Linked DNA regions of Schizosaccharomyces pombe. The gene in region 3 interacts genetically with the main gene of each other region. Each region holds a gene or a part of one and is shown on either strand. Other genes may lie near its edges.

The links. Genes that interact genetically often act in the same process or in processes that back each other up.
Region 1: mutations in bfr1 (region 3) and mfs1 impair growth when combined (synthetic growth defect), as found in Schizosaccharomyces pombe (one study listed by BioGRID).
Region 2: of bfr1 (region 3) and trr1, a mutation in one rescues a mutant of the other (synthetic rescue), as found in Schizosaccharomyces pombe (one study listed by BioGRID).

Annotation. Positions count from the first base shown.
Region 1 is NC_003424.3:4,470,586-4,475,620, reverse strand, and holds mfs1 (MFS family transmembrane transporter Mfs1), read right to left. Parts: upstream 3,092-5,035; 5' UTR 3,011-3,091; coding exon 2,350-3,010; intron 2,297-2,349; coding exon 1,362-2,296; 3' UTR 877-1,361; downstream 1-876. Other genes in the region: protein dhm2, read right to left, coding at 47-331; SPOM_SPAC9E9.15 (protein CIA30), read right to left, coding at 4,281-4,940.
Region 2 is NC_003423.3:4,187,799-4,192,324, reverse strand, and holds trr1 (thioredoxin reductase Trr1), read right to left. Parts: upstream 2,527-4,526; 5' UTR 2,359-2,526; coding exon 2,358-2,358; exon of another isoform or gene 2,059-2,357; coding exon 1,091-2,058; 3' UTR 877-1,090; downstream 1-876. Other genes in the region: U3 snoRNP protein Nop14, read left to right, coding at 1-702; erg26 (3 beta-hydroxysteroid dehydrogenase/delta 5-to-4-isomerase), read left to right, coding at 3,596-4,526.
Region 3 is NC_003421.2:709,109-717,852, forward strand, and holds bfr1 (plasma membrane brefeldin A efflux transporter Bfr1), read right to left. Parts: upstream 6,311-8,744; 5' UTR 4,900-6,310; coding exon 307-4,899; 3' UTR 194-306; downstream 1-193. UniProt on the Schizosaccharomyces pombe protein: Confers hyper-resistance to brefeldin A (BFA), an inhibitor of intracellular protein transport. Could serve as an efflux pump of various antibiotics.

The DNA.
Region 1 (5,035 bases), on a different chromosome or scaffold from region 3:
CAAACGAATAAAATCATAGTGTTATGTTTTCCTTTTTCAGAAATCGTTACAATTGATCAACTTCTTCTTCCAGATCCGATGGTTCAATTGCATAATCTTCAGAGGCATTTTCAAGTTGTTTTTCCCATTCCATATAAGCGCTTTCGTCTATAAATTTATTCATTTCCATGGAACCTCCCCTTTTATGTTCCAAAATCCCCTGTCGCCTTTTAGCTTGTTCATTTTCATTTTGGGCACGTGTAGATTGTCTAAGACGCGTCCACGAATAAATCGTAGGCTTTAGTCGTTCAGGCGAAGCACGATCATATTGATAATGAAAGGAATCACTCATGATGAATTAAAAACCATCTAACTTCTAACAGAAAGTTCGACTGCCCTTTCCATAATAAGCGTTTGTAGCCTTGGATAACTAAGAATGCAGCATTTTGAATGCGATGGAAAAGCTCAATGTAACCTTATTCAATCTTACGCGGCGTACTGTGTTCGGTATGAATTTAAGGGAAAAAGCTATAACGCGGTAAATGCTTTACAATAGTGTTATAAACTACTTGTCGCGTTGCTTACGCTTTAACGATGTTTTGGATAGTACACAAATTAACTTCAAGGTAAACTAAATAAAGCGGTTAATTCGTAGAGAACAGATGAAAATATAGGGAAGCCCTAAAGTAAAAAAACTTTAAGTTAGAGGTAGTTAGCTGTGTCTGCTCGTTATCTTAATGTCTTATTTATTGTTATTTAAATAAGAATATGAAAGATTAAATTTCAAAATGGATTCGCACGCAAAAAATAGTCAATTAGCATGATCTTTTTCAATACGTTTGAAAACAGGAGGGATGAGGAAAAATATATTTATAACTTTACTCTTCTTCACATTTCATTTTTTTTTTATATTAAAACTGCAATGATTAACAATCAAACGCTTGGAACTAACATCCACTTAACAAAGTCAAGTTATTAGGTAAACACATTTAAAAACGTAAACAAATTTATTCAGTTGGTGTTTTGTAAATAAATTCCGGCTTCCTTTTTTGGCTAAGAGTAACGAGCTTAGAGCAATTGTAAACGTATCGCCAAGCTCCATTTTATTAAACACTAATATTTCCAGACTAATAACATTAGAAATTATTAAAGACTAGAGTAGAAATAACCATATCCAACTAATAGCACTTTAAAAAATGACAAGGAATAAACAGCAAAGAAACTCATAAATATCTAATGTATAAAAATTAAATTCGTATCCTTCGTTAAGGTTACCACGGAGTAATCGAATAATATGTAATGATCACAAAAGACCAGAATTAAATAAAGGAAGGTATAGGTGAGGGACCAGTAAAGAGGTATTTTTTTAGCATGAATTTTCTTTAAGTGGCATATTTTGATCGACTTCTTAGTTTCAAACCCCATTTATAAATCAAGAATGGAATGGGGATCATTATGCAAGAAATAACACCAAGAATCGTGCTTCCCCACCCCACTGGGGCATATGAAGGACCTGTATTATTAAACATGGCTCTAGCATATAGAGGAGATGCTGCAGCCATGGAAGATCGAAAAAGAGCATTTCCAGCAAATACTGATGCAACATACTTCGGATATGCAGCTGCCAAATATTGAAACATACTTTGGAACAACAAAAAGGAACCTGATGCGTAGAAAAGTGTACCAACAATTGGTACAATCCAGTGCACCGATTCTCTTCCTGTCCAACCAAACCAAAAGAGTGAAATTGGAATAAAAAAGGCAGCTGGAAATGAGATGATTAAAATTTCTTCAGCAGGAAACTTACCCTTATTTTCCACAAACTTAGGAATCATCACTTTTCTAAGGTAAATAAAGTAAAATGCTACGGTTAGAACTGAACCTACCAATATACCCATGTAAACCAACCCGTTTTCAATAGTCGTAAAATGGTAGACTGTAGTAAAAAGGATGGGAAAGGCTTCGAACCATAGGTATAAAATTGAATATACTAATCCAATATAGATGGTTAATGACAGAACGATTGGTTCTGAGACACACAGAATTATAGGACGAACCAATATTTGCTTTGCAAATTGGCCTTTACTCAATTGCGAGGAGGCTATTTCGGCCTCCGTTTTATAATTTGGATTTCCAGTCAATTCGCGCAGTCTTTTAGCTCTTTTATACAATAAATGCCATTCAGAGGTTTCTGGCATAAAAAAAGTTATAATTACCAAGACAAGTGCAGAAATCATCATCAAAAGCCAAAACTGCCATCTCCATGATTTAGCAACTACCATGGCTGCACCAAGCAAGGGACCTAAAACAGGACCACCTAGAAAACTAGTTAGTCACAAATTCACTATCAAATTAAATGATCCAGCTTACCAACTGCGCCAAGGGACCAGAAACACATGAAATAAGGATAAAGCCATGGCTGCCAAATATCGGCCAGAGAGGCTCCTCCAGTGGAGAGGGCAGGTGAGCCAAAAACTCCCGCCAAAAATCTCATTGGAAGCAAAACACCCAAGCTAGATCCTAGCGCAGTGGGGATTTGCAGACAGATAAAAACAATAAGGGAGAGCACATAAATTTTTTGACGGCCTATTTGAGGTACCTCAGAGAGTGGAGAGAAAATGAGAGGGCCAACCGCATACCCCTCAACGAAAAGAGTCAGCCCCAAGATTACGGGCACGGTTCCTACATGCATCGTCTCTCGAATTTCCTGAATACCAGGAGTAAAGATTGCCGACCCCATATACACGGCAAACGTTAAAAAACAAACATCAAATGTTACTACGAGCTTTGCCCATAAAGGCCAATTTTTTGGGTTTTCAGGATCATCTTCGCCATCCCATGTCACAATAATCAATCCTTCAGAGTTAACCTGGTTAGTTTTCTCGTCGTCAAATGAAGAATCGGGGCAACTACTTAACTCAACATTACTATTATCTGTGCATACTCCTAATTTCTCCACATCAACTTGGCGAGTACCGCCAGAAAAGTATTCCACTAATTCACCAAAAATTGTTTCTCTTAAAAACCACATCCAATCGGTTCTCAATGCAAGTTCTTGTTCTCAGTGGATCGTAATAAAAACTTGACAAAATTGATTGTCATTACATTCCTCGTAGAACTTTTGCTTGCCAGACAGAACCTCTTTAAATAGACCAGTTCTTACTTCATGTCATGAAAATTTCCTTGTTGGACATTGGCCTAAATAGCATGTTTAGCCACTTCTAAGAATTTCCACTTGCGCTGATCTATACACTCGGAAGCAAAATTCGTTGAAACCGAGGATAGGTTTATTCAGTATTAGTCGATAAACATAGAAGCGCTTTGTCGGGAAAAATGTTATCTTTGTCCGTCGCATCGTTTAACCGTAATTCGCTTAAAATATTTACACTATTCTAGCAGTGGCTTAACTTTTGTCAACACAATAAAATTACTTTTAAGTTAGTGGTTTAAGCCTATGAATACATTTAGAAAAGGATAAAGGTACTCTTAACGACTCCATTAGATTGATCTGTTTGTAAGTAGATAAATAGATAGAATACTCTCGCTTGTTAATTACTTTTATGTACAATAAGCTTTCAACAGCTCCATTCATTGATGAATGTAATTTGTACTTTAAATAATAAAAATAAAGTTAAATATTGAAGATTTTTTATTTCATTGGGGAATGCAAACACCCAACTAATTATTTCAAGACATACGGTGATGACAATCTGTCGATACTACTATCATCAAGAAGTTTAGCGAACCTCACTAGTCAAATTTGTACAAATTCCGCGGCAATGGGAAAGAATGCGTTGAGTATATATGGTAAGTTACTGACAATCAGAAGTTAAAATAAGCAAACTAAATTGAATTTACTTTGGTTGTAGTTTTGCAGAGATGTGACAACTCCATAGTTGTACGTATATCAATTCATAGTGTTGTTGTTTGTCAATTACTTTGATTGATTATGATCGTCTAGTTTATGATTGCAAATGCTAATTGCTCTAATGACATTAGTCGGACATCACCATTAATGGATAGAAGTAACGGCTAAGCTAAAAACTCAGATTTTTGTAAATGTCAATGTACTAAATTGATGTCAATTAAACTATTGCTAACCTTATTCATCTCTTTAAAATTACTTCAAAATAAAAAAAGAGTAGCAGGAGACTTTAATATCCCCAACACTAAAGTAATACAAAGTCGCCTTTACTATAATTTCATGTCTTTACTATACAAATGAATACCGCACAAAACGCAAGTTAAATTCATCAAATGTCATGAAAATAAATTAAGTAAGTATTGCTAAAACTTTGGAATTATTGGCAAATGCACCAAGAACCTCCAGCAATTTCTTTTTCATAATCGTCAAAAAGTCTTTGCTTCTCGTTACTCATCTTATGGGTAGTAAAAGGAACATTCTTTGGAATAGCACGAATACTGTTTAAAACTAGTTCATAGTCGCCACTTTGGGAATTAAAAAAGCTTCGAATCATAATTGAAAACTGAGTGATCTTGCTAACGTCAAGCTCCGGGGCTCCTTCTACAGGTCGACCACGATAAGTCGGTTTAAATTCGGAAAACGGAATTGAAACAACTTGGTCTTCCTTAGAATATATAGGTGTAAAGTCGTATTCATATGATAAACTTGACTTCTCATCAGAAGTTTCCCAATCTTGATGACAATCCTTAATGATAAAAGTATATTTATAAGAATCGCTCTTAGCAATATCGAGCTCAATTCCTTTAAACTCTTTCAGGTTCCACGTCCTATCCTTGATATTAGTAGCCTGACTACAGAATCCAGCGCCTCCCAAGGTCTTAGTATCAAGAGTGCCCCAAAACTTGGCGCGAGATTTCCCATCACTATCCTTCTCCTCAGTGAGATGACTTATCGAAGAGCCTCCACGAACCCTATCATCTACAGCACGAAAATCCTGCTCATGCCAATTTTCTGGCTGACCAAAAAGAACAAGCATTTCTTTTTAATGGAGTAATGTTCAACAGCGGTGGATATATGAGTATTTTGTATTCAATAACAAAGGCAAAGGAAAGATATGAAGCCTACTTATTG
Region 2 (4,526 bases), on a different chromosome or scaffold from region 3:
GTTATAACGGCAGTCTCACAGGCACTTTATTTGCTATACCCCAATTTCATATCTATAGTACCAGGAACATTTGCACTTCCTGATTCTTTGAAGGAAAAGCAAAATTTATTCGCCATTCAAGATATATCTCTCGATGAACCTCAAAGGCTAAGCCTATATGAATTAGAAGAGTTACCGACAGGGCTTCTACAGTCTTCCATTTTATTTATAACTTTAAATTTGATAGAAATGGCGATTGACATTTATTTTAAGGAGCAAGCTTTCATTGAAATATTTGTACCCATTATGGACATGTTACAATTGTACTCTTTGAAAAAGGAACTTTTGAGTAAACGTTTATCGGAAAAATTATTATCTACTTTACAGGCTGTTTCCGATTCTATTGAATCAGCTAAAGCAAACCGTAAACCATTGGCTTTACAATCTCATCGTCCTTTAGGAATTACTAGTCAAGTTCCTAAGTTTGAGGAAGGTTATTCTCTTGACAAAAGCTCCCATGATATTGATCCCGAAAGGGCTCAACTCAACAAGTTGCGTGCTCAACACCGCGATGCCAAGAAAGGAGCTATCCGCACTCTCCGCAAGGATGCCAGGTTTATTGCTAGGGAGAGAAGGCAAGAGCAACGTGCTAAGGACCAAGCCTACAATGAGAAAATGCGGAAGTTGGAAAATCGTTTGCAGCATTTTGATCCGGCTGTCTAGAGAAAGTGTGCATTTCTTTAAGTTTTTGAATTTAAATTATAAAGGGTAGTATAGGGATCATTAGGGGAAAATTTATAGGTAATTGATGATTTTAGCTTAATACTTCCAGCCAAAGTCCACTATTACTATTATATCAATAGTAAAAAAACTTATATAATTTTACATACATACCATGCGTAAACTAAGGTGTAGAAAAAGGGAAACAATCATTATTATTGCTCTTCGTGTAAAAATAACTACGAATCAAAAAGCCATGTATCTATAGTAAACAATAATTGATAAGATACTCCTAAAATTATTGGATAAACAAAAGAAAGGAAAGGAGCATACAAAATGCATATGAATACCAAAAAGGGAAAAGGGAATCAGTAACTATTCTAGATTAGTTCTAATCGGTATCTTCCAATTCTTCAAGGTAATGCATAGCCAATAAAGCTGCTTGACAACCACTTCCAGCAGAAGTGATGGCTTGGCGGAAGACCTTATCTTGAACATCACCAGCGGCAAAAAAGCCAGGAATTGAAGTACGAGGAGTTCCATTAATAGTTTTAATGTAACCGGCTTCATCAAGCTCAATTTGTTCAGCTACTAACTTAGTAGCAGGGATATGTCCAATAGCATAAAAGAGTCCGTTAACCTGAAGATCAGAGACTTCATTCGTGTTGGTATTCTTGATACGAAGGTTATTGAGCAACTTGCCATCGCCTTGGGCCTCCTCAGCAACGGTGTTCCACAAAACTTCCACCTTAGGGTTAGCCAAAAGACGCTTGGCCATAATGGGAGAAGCACGAAGCTTGTCACGGCGCACAAGGACATAAACTTTGCTACCATACTTTGTTAAAAACTGGGCCTCTTCGGCAGCAGAGTCACCACCACCAACGACAGCAAGAGGCTTGTTACGATAAATGGGAACGGCACCATCACATACAGCACAAGCAGATATACCTGCTTGCCAATAAGTATCCTCACCAGTAATGTGAAGGCGACGAGCGGAAGCACCAGTAGCCAAAATAACGCTGTCAGCGGTATGAGGCTCTTCCTCTTCAGCACCCTCCAACCAGTACTTGAAAGGGCGAGAAGAAAGATCTAATTTGGAAACAGTCTCGGTAATAATTTCAGTTCCAAAACGCAAAGATTGAGCGCGGAAGTTTTCAGTAAGGGTAGTACCATTGATACCATCGGGAAAACCAGGAAAGTTTTCGACATCGGTGGTAGTAGTAAGCTGACCACCAGCAGCAATACCGTTGGCAAGCATACCTTCGTACATTACGGGCTTAAGCTCACCACGGGCGAGATAGATGGCTGCAGTATGGCCGGCGGGACCAGACCCAATAATAACAACCTTGTTGTGAGTCACTAATGAAGTCAGTAAAATTAAAAAAACAAAACAAAAAAAGATAAACGTTAATGTTGTAAGGCGAGAAGGATAGAAAAGCTGAAAGAACACAAGATAACCATTATCGAACAATGATAAAAAAACAGATGAAACCCAATCTTACACGTGAGTTCGGAAATAAAAAAGTTTCCTACTAATCAACAAAAAAAAAGAAAAAAATTCATCACCGAATTAGTTTTATTTTTAGGTAATAATTTTTTTTTTGTTGGGTTCGACTTCATCGCCGTCACATTTCCTGCACGTTTTTCGTTTCACTTACTATTGATATGAGTATTTGTAGAGAAATATGTTTGTTTTAAAGGGGAATAAATAGATCCTAACTTCAAAGATTTCTTAAAAGAATCGGGTATGCCTTTATAGAAGCTAAATTTCTGATAAGGAAAGAATGTCCTGAAGTATCGAAGGAATGCGATATGGTGGTAGTGGGTAAATTGATTCTTATATAGAGCCCTGGGAAATGGTGTGCTTACTAGCGATGAATAATGAGACTCGTTCGAGACATTCGTAAAAGTGCGAACGCTTAGATTAACAGTGGCAGAACGAGACACCGATATCGCGTAAGCAAATTTAATGCCAACATGGTAGAAGAGGGTATAGGAATGTCGAGAATTAGTGAGGCCACGATAAATGGACGAACCACCAAAGCCATGAGTAAGCGACGCTTTGTACATGAAAGACGACTGACCTATGCTAGTACAATAGAAAGAACTCGACAAGAAAAATCCACGTTTTTGTTAGTTAAGAGTTTAAGCCTCCACAATCCAAACAAATTGTCAAAGAGACGCGCAGAAAGCAAAATTCTCAATGTAGCCGTGCTGGGCTACTTGCCTTACTAAGGTTTTAACCAAAAACAAGTATGATTCAAGTGCGATTGGTGTAGCCTAGAAAAAACAATTGCGAAAAGTAATTTCAAGGAAACAAATTTTAGTCGTTTACAACCCAAAAAAGAAAAATTTGCTGTTCCTGCGATCAACACTGCTTAATAATTTATTTATTAAGGTTACCAACGAGGAAAAATGTTTTACGCTGAATATTGTGATTTGATAAAAGGTATAACGATAGAATTTATAAATAATAAATTGGTTTAACGTTCAACGAAGAAAGTACGAAAATTGGGTTTTGGCTGCTATCAACATTATCGAGCTTTAAGGTAGCACGCAGCATTGCTTTACAATAGGCCAGTTTTAGATGTGAACGGTACGAGGTCGGGAGGTCATCGTTTTCTTGTAATGGTACTCGAGATGTTACTCACTTAATTTTTCTGTTTTCTAAGTGCGTACTACATATTGTACTAATAGAGTTTCAATCGGCTACTATCCTCTAACCCATGTTCCATATTCAACAGCTGCTCTCTTTCTCGCTAATCATGGTTAGTGTATTGCATCTAGCCTACACCCCAAAAACACAGGTAGCAAATAAGCTCACTCATTTCTCGATATGGTGTAACGTCGAATACCTGGCAAGAACCAGACAATCGTTTATTCTTGTATTTTTTTAATGCCGATGAATTCCGTGTTAGTTATTGGAAGTGGATTTTTAGGAGGTCATATCATACGGCAGCTGTGCGAACGTGAAAATCTTCGAATTGCTGCATTTGATCTCTTTGAAAATGAAAAGTTGCTACACGAGCTTCATGGTCAATTCACCATGTATACGGGTGATTTAACGAAACAAGGTGATATTGAGCGTGTTTTTGAGGAATTTCATCCACGCGTAGTTATTCACACTGCTTCACCTGTGCATAACCTTGCTCGTGATATTTACTTTGAAGTGAACGTAGATGGCACAGCGAATATCATCAAAGCATGCCAGAAATTTAATGTTGATGCCCTTGTTTATACTAGTTCCGCAGGTGTAGTTTTCAATGGTGCTGACCTTATCAATGTGGATGAGTCCCAGCCCATCCCAGAAGTTCATATGGATGCCTATAACGAGTCCAAAGCTTTGGCAGAAAAACAAGTCTTGGAGGCAAGTTCTGAATCTTTAAAAACTGCTGCCCTTAGAGTTGCTGGTTTATTTGGTCCAGGTGATCGCCAACTCGTCCCTGGTATGCTTTCTGTTTTAAAGAATGGACAAACCAAATTTCAATTGGGTGATAATTTGAATCTTTTTGATTTTACCTACATCGAAAACGCTGCCTATGCTCATCTTCTGGCTATGGACAATTTACTTTCTAGTAATCCTACTGCCAATGGCCAAGTCTTTTTCATTACCAATGGACAGGTTATTTACTTTTGGGACTTTGCACGTGCTATTTGGGCACATGCAGGACACGTTCCCCCTTATATCATCAAATTCCCTAGACCGGTGGGTATGCTCTTAGCCACTGCTGCTGAATGGGTTTGTTATTTCTTGAAAAAGGAACCTGGCTTTACACGTTTCCGTGTCCAATTTAGTTGTGCTAACCGTTACTTTAACATTCAAAAGG
Region 3 (8,744 bases):
TCAAGAAAAATAAAAAAGATAAATTAAATACAGAGAATTCTGTTAATTTGCTTTCACACATGCTAAGATTCAAAGTTGGTTGGGTATAAACCTCAAAAGTCTTATGCATGCATACATGTCAACATAGTAAAAATAATTTCTAATGTAAATTAACGAATATGGCAACACTCGTCACCCAAGCCGTCTGCTATTATGAGTACTAATAGTATTTTATTCCACCATTAACAAATTATTTTTTAAAGAAAAAAAGTGTATAAAAAAAGACCATAAAACTTAAAAACATCAAAACACCCCATATTAATACATTTAACCAGTTCCGGTAATCTTTTTACCAAGCCAAGTACTTCTAAGCTTCATGACTCGGAATACGTAAAACAACAAAAGCACCGCAAAGATATTGAAGAACACATAACCAACAAAGATACCCAAATTTCTCCAGCGATGAGTATAACGCATACTAAACCGCTCCAAAAACTGGTCAGCGGTTTGATATGGACAGTAACTGCATGAGGTTGTAGCATTAGGATTTAAGAGGTTTCCAGCAGCTGTGTTATTAGTTAAGAAAGCACTCATATATTCACCGCATGTTTGACCGCTAGGAGGGTTGATAGTAAGCATCTCATGAGACTTGCATTCAACTGGAAGTCCATGCACCAAATCAGAAAGTAATCCTTCGATCAAATAGGTAAACGGAGTCAACGAATGCATCCAATGCCAAAATCCGACCAAATTACTATTAGGCTGCAGAACACCGTTAAATGTAATCACGAATGTGAATAACAAACTGTTGACAACGGACGCTGTTTGAGCATTAGGGCACGCACTGGCGACAGCTTGGCCAAAAGTTGAGAAGTACATTTGGAAGAACATATAAAGCAACCAAGCGTAACCAGTTTTGTCACCAGGATGATGAATATGCTTATAAAACTTGATTGGATAAAACCAACAAAGGAAGAAAAGCGTGCCAAACACCAGGTTAAATGGAATTTCTACTATAATGGCTGAAAATACGAATGCAACCCAACTGTAAATATTCGAAGGCTTTTCTCTAACTTCAAAGACGTTACGCAACTCAATAAATTTTGGTTGAAGACCATTAATCAAAGGAACTGCAAGAACGGTTGCCATAAACACAGCGAAAAGCTTGTTCTGAATATTCTGTACACCGAGACCTTGATTATAAAATGTAAATCCAATAAATAAACCAGCGAAAATATCCAGTGCTAATTTAGACATCAATATAGAGGGCTCTCTCCAATAAGACTGGAAATTTCTGGTCATGACCATTTTGACTTGGAACCACAGAGGCATGGCGTAAGTGCTCCTATCTTCCTTTGACAAAGTCTTTTTATCCTCACTGTTTGAGAATGAAGCGTTAATTTTGTCTAGCTCTGCACTAATGGCTTTACGTTCTTCTGAGTTATTCCAAACTTCATGCCAATCACGATTAGTAGTGGCAGTGGCACCAGCACCAATAACATCTAAAATGTATTCAGCTGGATTACCGTCGTCAGGACAATGTACTGCTCCATGAGATTCAAAGTAATTTAACAAAGTCTTAGAATGTTCTCCTATATCACCAAAGTACACTGTTTTACCACCTTTCTGTAGCAGTAACAATCTATCAAATTGATCAAACAGTACGGCACTGGGTTGATGGATTGTACAAAGAATTGCTTGACCAGCATCAGCTAATTTTCGCAAGAAACAAACAATGGACCATGCAGACTGACTATCTAGACCAGAAGTTGGCTCGTCTAAAAACAACAATAAAGCAGGCTTCGCAGCCAACTCGACACCAATGGTTGCACGCTTACGTTGTTCTACGTTCAATCCGGAGCCAGGAGTACCGATAATTGCTTCAGCATAGCTCTCCATTTCCAAAAGTTTAATGACTGATTCGACATATTCGTACTTTTCCGAAAGAGGAACGGAAGCAGGTTGACGTAGAGCAGCACTGAAACGCAACGCTTCTCTAACCGTAGATTCACCAATGTGGACATCCTGCTGTTGTACATAACCAGTGCGCCGTTGGAAAGTTGAATCCAATCCTCTACCATTAACCAACATGTCGCCAGTTACTACACCAGTGTCAACACGTTGAGCAAGTACATTTAGTAAAGTGGTTTTACCAGCACCGGATTCACCCATCAAAGCCGTCAATTTACCTGGAACAACAAAGCCTTGCACACCATTAAGTAACCGGCGATGCTCACCTTTTATTTGAATGTCGTAGTTAAGATTTCTCCAGCTGAAAATGTCATGGCCTTTTTCAATTCCTTCATATTCCTTGTTAAGCTCTTCTTCGTTGTCCGGAGACTCTTTAACAACGTCACCACCTTGAGTATCTTGACCAGTTTCTAAATCCAGCGGTTTTCCACCTTCATTGACAGCTGCTTTTACAGCGTCAGGAGCATGGCCGCGGCGAAAGACCAGATATTCACCTTTCAAATCGTTGAAATTAAGAGTTTCACTGGCGACGATGTTGACAAATACCAAGAACGCATAATATCCAATAATAATAGCCAAATTTCTCCATAATTGACGCGTCTTGTAGTTGAAACTAATATACAAGTAAGTTGAGCCGTCAACGTAATCTGTTCCAGGTTCTGCAGAGGTGACGGGACAGATTTTGTTAGCTACAGGATAATTGTCATATCCACTACCGTACGGAATCAATTGAGAGCATTCGAACTGTCGTGCCTTGAATTCATTAATCATTAAAGACTCAAAACCAAATTGCAACGGGTCGAGATAAGCAATCCAGCGGAACCACCATCCAACGTCGATATTAGGAATAGCATAACCAGTGTAAATGGCAATTGCAAGCACACCGATACCACCCAAAGCAGATGCAGATTCAACATTGGGCATAATTCCAGCTAATGATCGAAAAAAGGCAGACATACAAGTAGCACCTATGAAAAGGAACAAAAAGTAAGTCCAAAATCCGCCAGCAGTCCTCTTTAAATTTGTTAAAAAATACAACACAATTGAGAAAACCGAAATATTAATGAATCTGAAAGGTAGATCGACAATCAAGCTACTAATAACATCTGCAGCAGGATGGTACAAAGCAGAAGCTCTATGCTTAGCAATGATGGGTCGTTGGGAAAACATATTAGCGATTTCAGAAAGACTCTGAAGTGCGCAAAACAGAATAGAGAAGAAAAGAACACCACCACGTGAGAATACATCAACGGTGTTTAATTTCATATCGTAGAAAATAGAACCGATAATAAGAGATTGGAAAAGGAAAGCAAAAGCCATTGAACCAATATATGCAGGATCATTGATATATCTCTCCCATGACCTAGCTAAACAATACCACAACTGTTGACTAAAAGTCACAGTATACGGAGAGGTATCCTTAACACGTTTACTCTTTTCCGCTACCGCACTTTGACGATAGAGCTCATGCTTGGTAGTGGCAGAGATATCGCTTCCAAAGTTGTCTTTTTCGGGGGCTTCAGAAGAAGCAGGAGTAGTCTCGGTCCACCGTTTGTCATAGCTTTCCATTTCGGCCATAAGGTCAGCATATACAGAACTATTGCGCCACATTTGTTCAAACTCATCAGGGGTTCTGGGAACGCGATTTTCGAAACCCTTTCTAGGAAACCTAGCCTTCGGGTCAGAAATAGCAGTGAGGAAGTCAGGAGTTGTTTCACGAGGATGACAGTCAAACCCCATATCTAAGAAGTATTGCTTGGCTTTGTCAGCTGGTCCATAATAAATTTGCCTACCGGCATAAAGTACACAAATTCGATCGAAAAGTTTGTAAATCTTTTCCGAAGCTTGGTATGCAGTAACGAAGGATGTCATTTTAAGTTCATTGGCACAAGTGCGAAGGACATTGACGAACTCGAAAGCCGTACTAGAGTCCAAACCACGAGTACTATTATCCCAGCAAGCGATAGTTGGACGAGTAGCAAAACCTTCACTAATAGTTACACGCTTACGTTCACCACCAGAGACACCACGTACGAAATCATTACCTACCTTGGTATTGAAAGTGTGTGTCAAGCCAAATGCGGTAGCAATTAAATGCCTCTCACGACTCACATATTCTTGACGGGTGAGGTTGCAAGGACGGTTGTTTGGGGTACGGCATTTAGCCGCAAAATCAAGGGTTTCAGCGGTAGTCAAAGATGGGAAATGGACATCGTTTTCACCACTGTATAAAAGATCACCGGGGAAAAACTTTTTCATGTCGGCCTTGTCAATACCGTCATAATGAGTGGTTCCCTCGACACGCTTGTAGTGAACAGTATCGCTAGTAACTGAACGCAAGAAAGTGGAACATCCAGAACCTGGTTGTCCCAAAACCATCACCAGTTCACCAGCATTGGCAAGAGCATGACAATGACTTAAAATGGCTTTTTCCACCACTTGTTTTTCAGTGATAGCTCGATAAGGTTGTAAAAAAATATCAGGAAATGTTTTCAAAAATTCATATCCAGAACCAACGCCATAAACACTATGGTCGCGCATGCAGACACCACTACTACGAGTGATGATATCGTCTCGTTGTAAAGAATCTTTGTATGCTCTTAAATAATGCTTCAAGTTGAAGTTTTCCCCTAGTTCAAAGGGATCACCGGCCAAACGGTCGACCGATGAATCATCAGATGAGGAAGAATCCGAATTCGATGAGGATTCTGGGGAGGGTTCGTTTGATGAAGATGGGACGTAACTTTGATTACCTTTTGAACGGTATTCCTCATTAGTGTGTGATGCCTTCTCATTGGATGAAGGATTAGAAGAATCTAAAGACTCGTCAACATTCGAAGAAGAATCCTCGAAATGATCAGAGGAATTAGAAATACGCGTAACCTCGGTGGTATGATTTAAAGTACTGCCTAAGGCCTGACCGTGAGTAGTATCCGAATTTTGATTCATTTCGTAATGTAAAAAGGAATATAAAAGGGAAACAAATCAAAATAGAACAGGATAGGAAAAAAGAAAGTAGAAAAAACCGGAAATGATGTTTTATATTAGTAATTGAACGATTCAAAAGAAAAAATTTTGAAAACACCACGATACAATTGAAACAAGTTGAACTCTATAAATCGAGCTGAAAAAAAAAAGCAGATCGACGTCCAACGATTTAAAAAAAACGAGAAATGAAAAGTTTAATAAAATAAACGACAAAATTACCAAAACGTAAGAAGAATTAGAACGCTATTTCACAAGACAGTAAACTTCAAGTTGTGAAAATAATAAGAAAAACGCAAACGAAAGTACGTGAATTGAACGAAAACGCTAGGGAAAACGACCAACAACAAGTTTAAAAAAAAAGCGAAAGCGAATCGCAACCAGAAAGACTTTCAAACAAAATTAGTGAGTGATGATGAAGTAAGCAACCGAGCTCACTGTACACTGAAGAGAAAAGTTTTATTGTTTAACAAGTGGGTGAAGAAAATAATTTAAAATTAGGAGAGGAACGAATGGGGAATCGAACAGTACTTTTTAAGCTTGGCTTAAAAAGCAGTAAGATTACTAAAGGAAGAAGATAAAAAAATGAAGGATCTCCTTTGGAAAGTTCAAATAGATACTATAACAAATATAGATAAATAGATATGTATACGGTTGTATGTATAAAAAATATTTATCTATCTATATATATTTTATAATATATAGAAAGAAGGCTTCTTTTTTATTAGAGTGAATTTTCCCAAACGCAATAGGGGAAAAAAAATTTCGTTCTTGTCTGCCTGTGAGATTGCTCGTAATACGAATCGCCAATTCGTGTTGATTCAGACTCCTACTGAAAAAGTGAAAGACGACTGGTCAATAATACGAGTAAATGAAAGTTTTATAATAGGAGCAGGGATGAAAACCTAGCACCACAGGTATGCTTATGACAAGAAGGGAAGAGAAGGGGCAAATAGGAAGAAGAAAGAAGCAACGCCAATTTTTTAGAAGAGGAACTAGTTTCAAAGATAAGAAAAGCAAAATTTCCTGAAAAACAATGGCTTTTTGCAGGCCACGTTTCAAAAGAAGAAAGAGAATCCAATAAGTTTCCGCAAGAGGAAAGAAATGTATCTAGAAGACAGGTAGGAAGAGGGAAATGGAAATGCAAGGGAAACGGGAGAAAAGGTAAGAAAGCTAAAGCTTCCTGAACTCCAACAAAAGCTTGAAAACCAAACAAAAAGGAACTAAATCGAGATAACGGTCTCTACGAACTCAATAAAAACGACGTTTCGTTGCGCTTCAAAGGATAAACCAGAAAGCAAGTTGGTTATCGAGAAAGTAGGGAGCAATTTCTTCGTTCTTTAATATGAACTGCCAAACGCTAGGAAGATGATGTGAAAAAAATGGTGGCCGCTGACTCGCTTTAGTAAACAATTTCGTTCGGCGCTTTGACTCTCCGGAGTGATGTCATAGAAAAGCGATCGACTAAACACCGAGGAGCAAGCAAGCGATAAATTTGCCTTGTATAATAGTATGACTAAGACAACTCGATAATAAGAGACGCAACAAGAAAGAGAGGGTTTAGAGACGAAATGAGATGAAAAACCGATAAAAATGAGTGTAATATGAGAGAAAGAACAAAAAAAATTTCAATGAATTAAAAGCGAGATTCTCTTGAATCAAAAAGATTGAGAAAAGAGTCCAAAATCCCTTTTATAAAGTGTTTAACCTCAGAAAAAGCCCAAATTTTCTCGAAATTTCCCCCGACTTTAGCATAGTTTTTATTATTTTACAAAGTTCTTTTGTTTGTTCATAATTTCAGAGATTGTTTTGCAAACCAACAAAGACCCGAATCGTCCATCTGGTACGAGCGCTCATCTTTATCTTTCTTTTGTTTACATGTCAAAGGGAAATACAAAAGTGAGTGAAAAGTTTCTCTATTTTCATTCAAACTTCCTACTTCTTGGTCTATTTTTTATTCAAATGACTTGATGAATTTGAATATTGGTTTAAAACCTGACAAATCCTACCTTTTTTCCATTTAACTACGCGTTCAACGTTTCCTCTCCTGCGCTACTTTTAGCTATAGACACTTGCTCTCTCACTCTCTCAGTAATGTAAATTTAACGACAAATAGCGTTTTCGTAAACCTCTTTAGTAGCGTTTCCTAGCAGCGAAGCACTCAAACATAGTCGGGATCGTCCAAGTTCCGAAATTACCGCTGCGCGGTCAACTACAGCATTTGCTGTTATCACGATACAGCGATACGCAAGAGGCTAATTTCTAAATTCCGATGCCCGATGTCCGAGCACCTCGCGTTTGAGAAGTGTCGCACATTTGGCATCAAATGCAGCTCTTGCAGATCTGATTAGTAAGAAATGAGTAAGCGCAAAGAATAACGAGGAAAAGAGAATGTGTTGAATGGAATAATGAGGAATAAAGGAGTGCGATCGGGAAGATTACGAAGGAGAGTAGATATACTCAAATTTGCAAGGATAAAGGATAAGGATTACGAATAGAGATGATTACTGAAGAATTTGTGAGCAATTGTTTTTTTTTTAATTTATCTGATTAAATTGGAATGGATGTCCAGTATAGAATATGTTCATGCACTCTCTCTGCACTTTGCAAGATGAATTGCATTGTAACGATCGAGTGCGCTATGTAATATTACGCTGCGCTACTGTTTTATTCCCATAAAGACTTGAAAAGGTAAATAGCCAAACTGACTTTAAAGTTGGTTTTGACTTTTTCTCCTTTCTAGCATAAATACTGCTGCACATTGGATCAGTTGTTAGTAAGTAGAAGATTGAGTAGCTAGAAATTGTAGAGAGCGAAATATTCTCTTGACCGATTACATTCCCACTGTCTCCCGTTTTTGTTTTGCCTACTTTGTACTGCGTCTTCATCGTTTGTCCGACTGTGTGTGGGCGCCATGTTTCTAGCTAGTGTGCCCAGTACGAGAAGTTTCTATTACTGAGCGCATGTCGAAATTACTGGGCAAATTTGACACTTTGAGAGCAGCTCGATCGCATCGCTCTCAAAGTACTAAAAAATTGTCCGTTTCGATGCTGCGAAAAGTTGGACATCATAGTGCGAAGACCATCGTAAACTTGCCTATCATGTGTTAATAACATGGTCCAACATGTTGATGAAGCAATCCTACCAAATCGGCTACAAATACTATGGCACGAAATACGTGAATGCAATATGGCTCATCTCTTTACCTCTCTCTATAGGTAAATATGTAAATACTTAAGGCAAATTAAATTCTTTTTTCATCCACTTAAGCATTTTAACGTGTCATTTCGCACTGCTTTGTATTTTATTAATATTTTATTAAACAAAATGCGATAACTAGCGTAATTTGGAATAAAAAAACACCCATTCACCTCGTAGCATACACTTCGCTCGTGAACGCTATTTTCCACTTCCACTATCTCGTCTAGCGTGAATGCGGGCATAGCGATGCAGCGACACATTGCAGTATTTCACAATTACAAAAGTGTCGATCTTTTTGTTGTTGCGCTAAATAGTGTGCTACTAAACATTTTGATACATTCTATAAACTCGCCAGCGTTTATTCCATTTAGTGTCTTTCTCGTATTTTGAATTCATGTGTATGTGCTAGTAACTAAAATTTCTTCTCATCCAATTTTTTTTTTTTTTTTTTTTTATTTAAATTCTCTTCCAACCAACTTCTACTCGTTCATTTTTCTATTGACATTTGTGTTTAACTCATACCTCGTAATAATCACGTTTACCAATTCGACGACCCTCAGCAATTGACTCTCTGAGCCACATGAAATCATTTTCTTATTTTTTTTTCT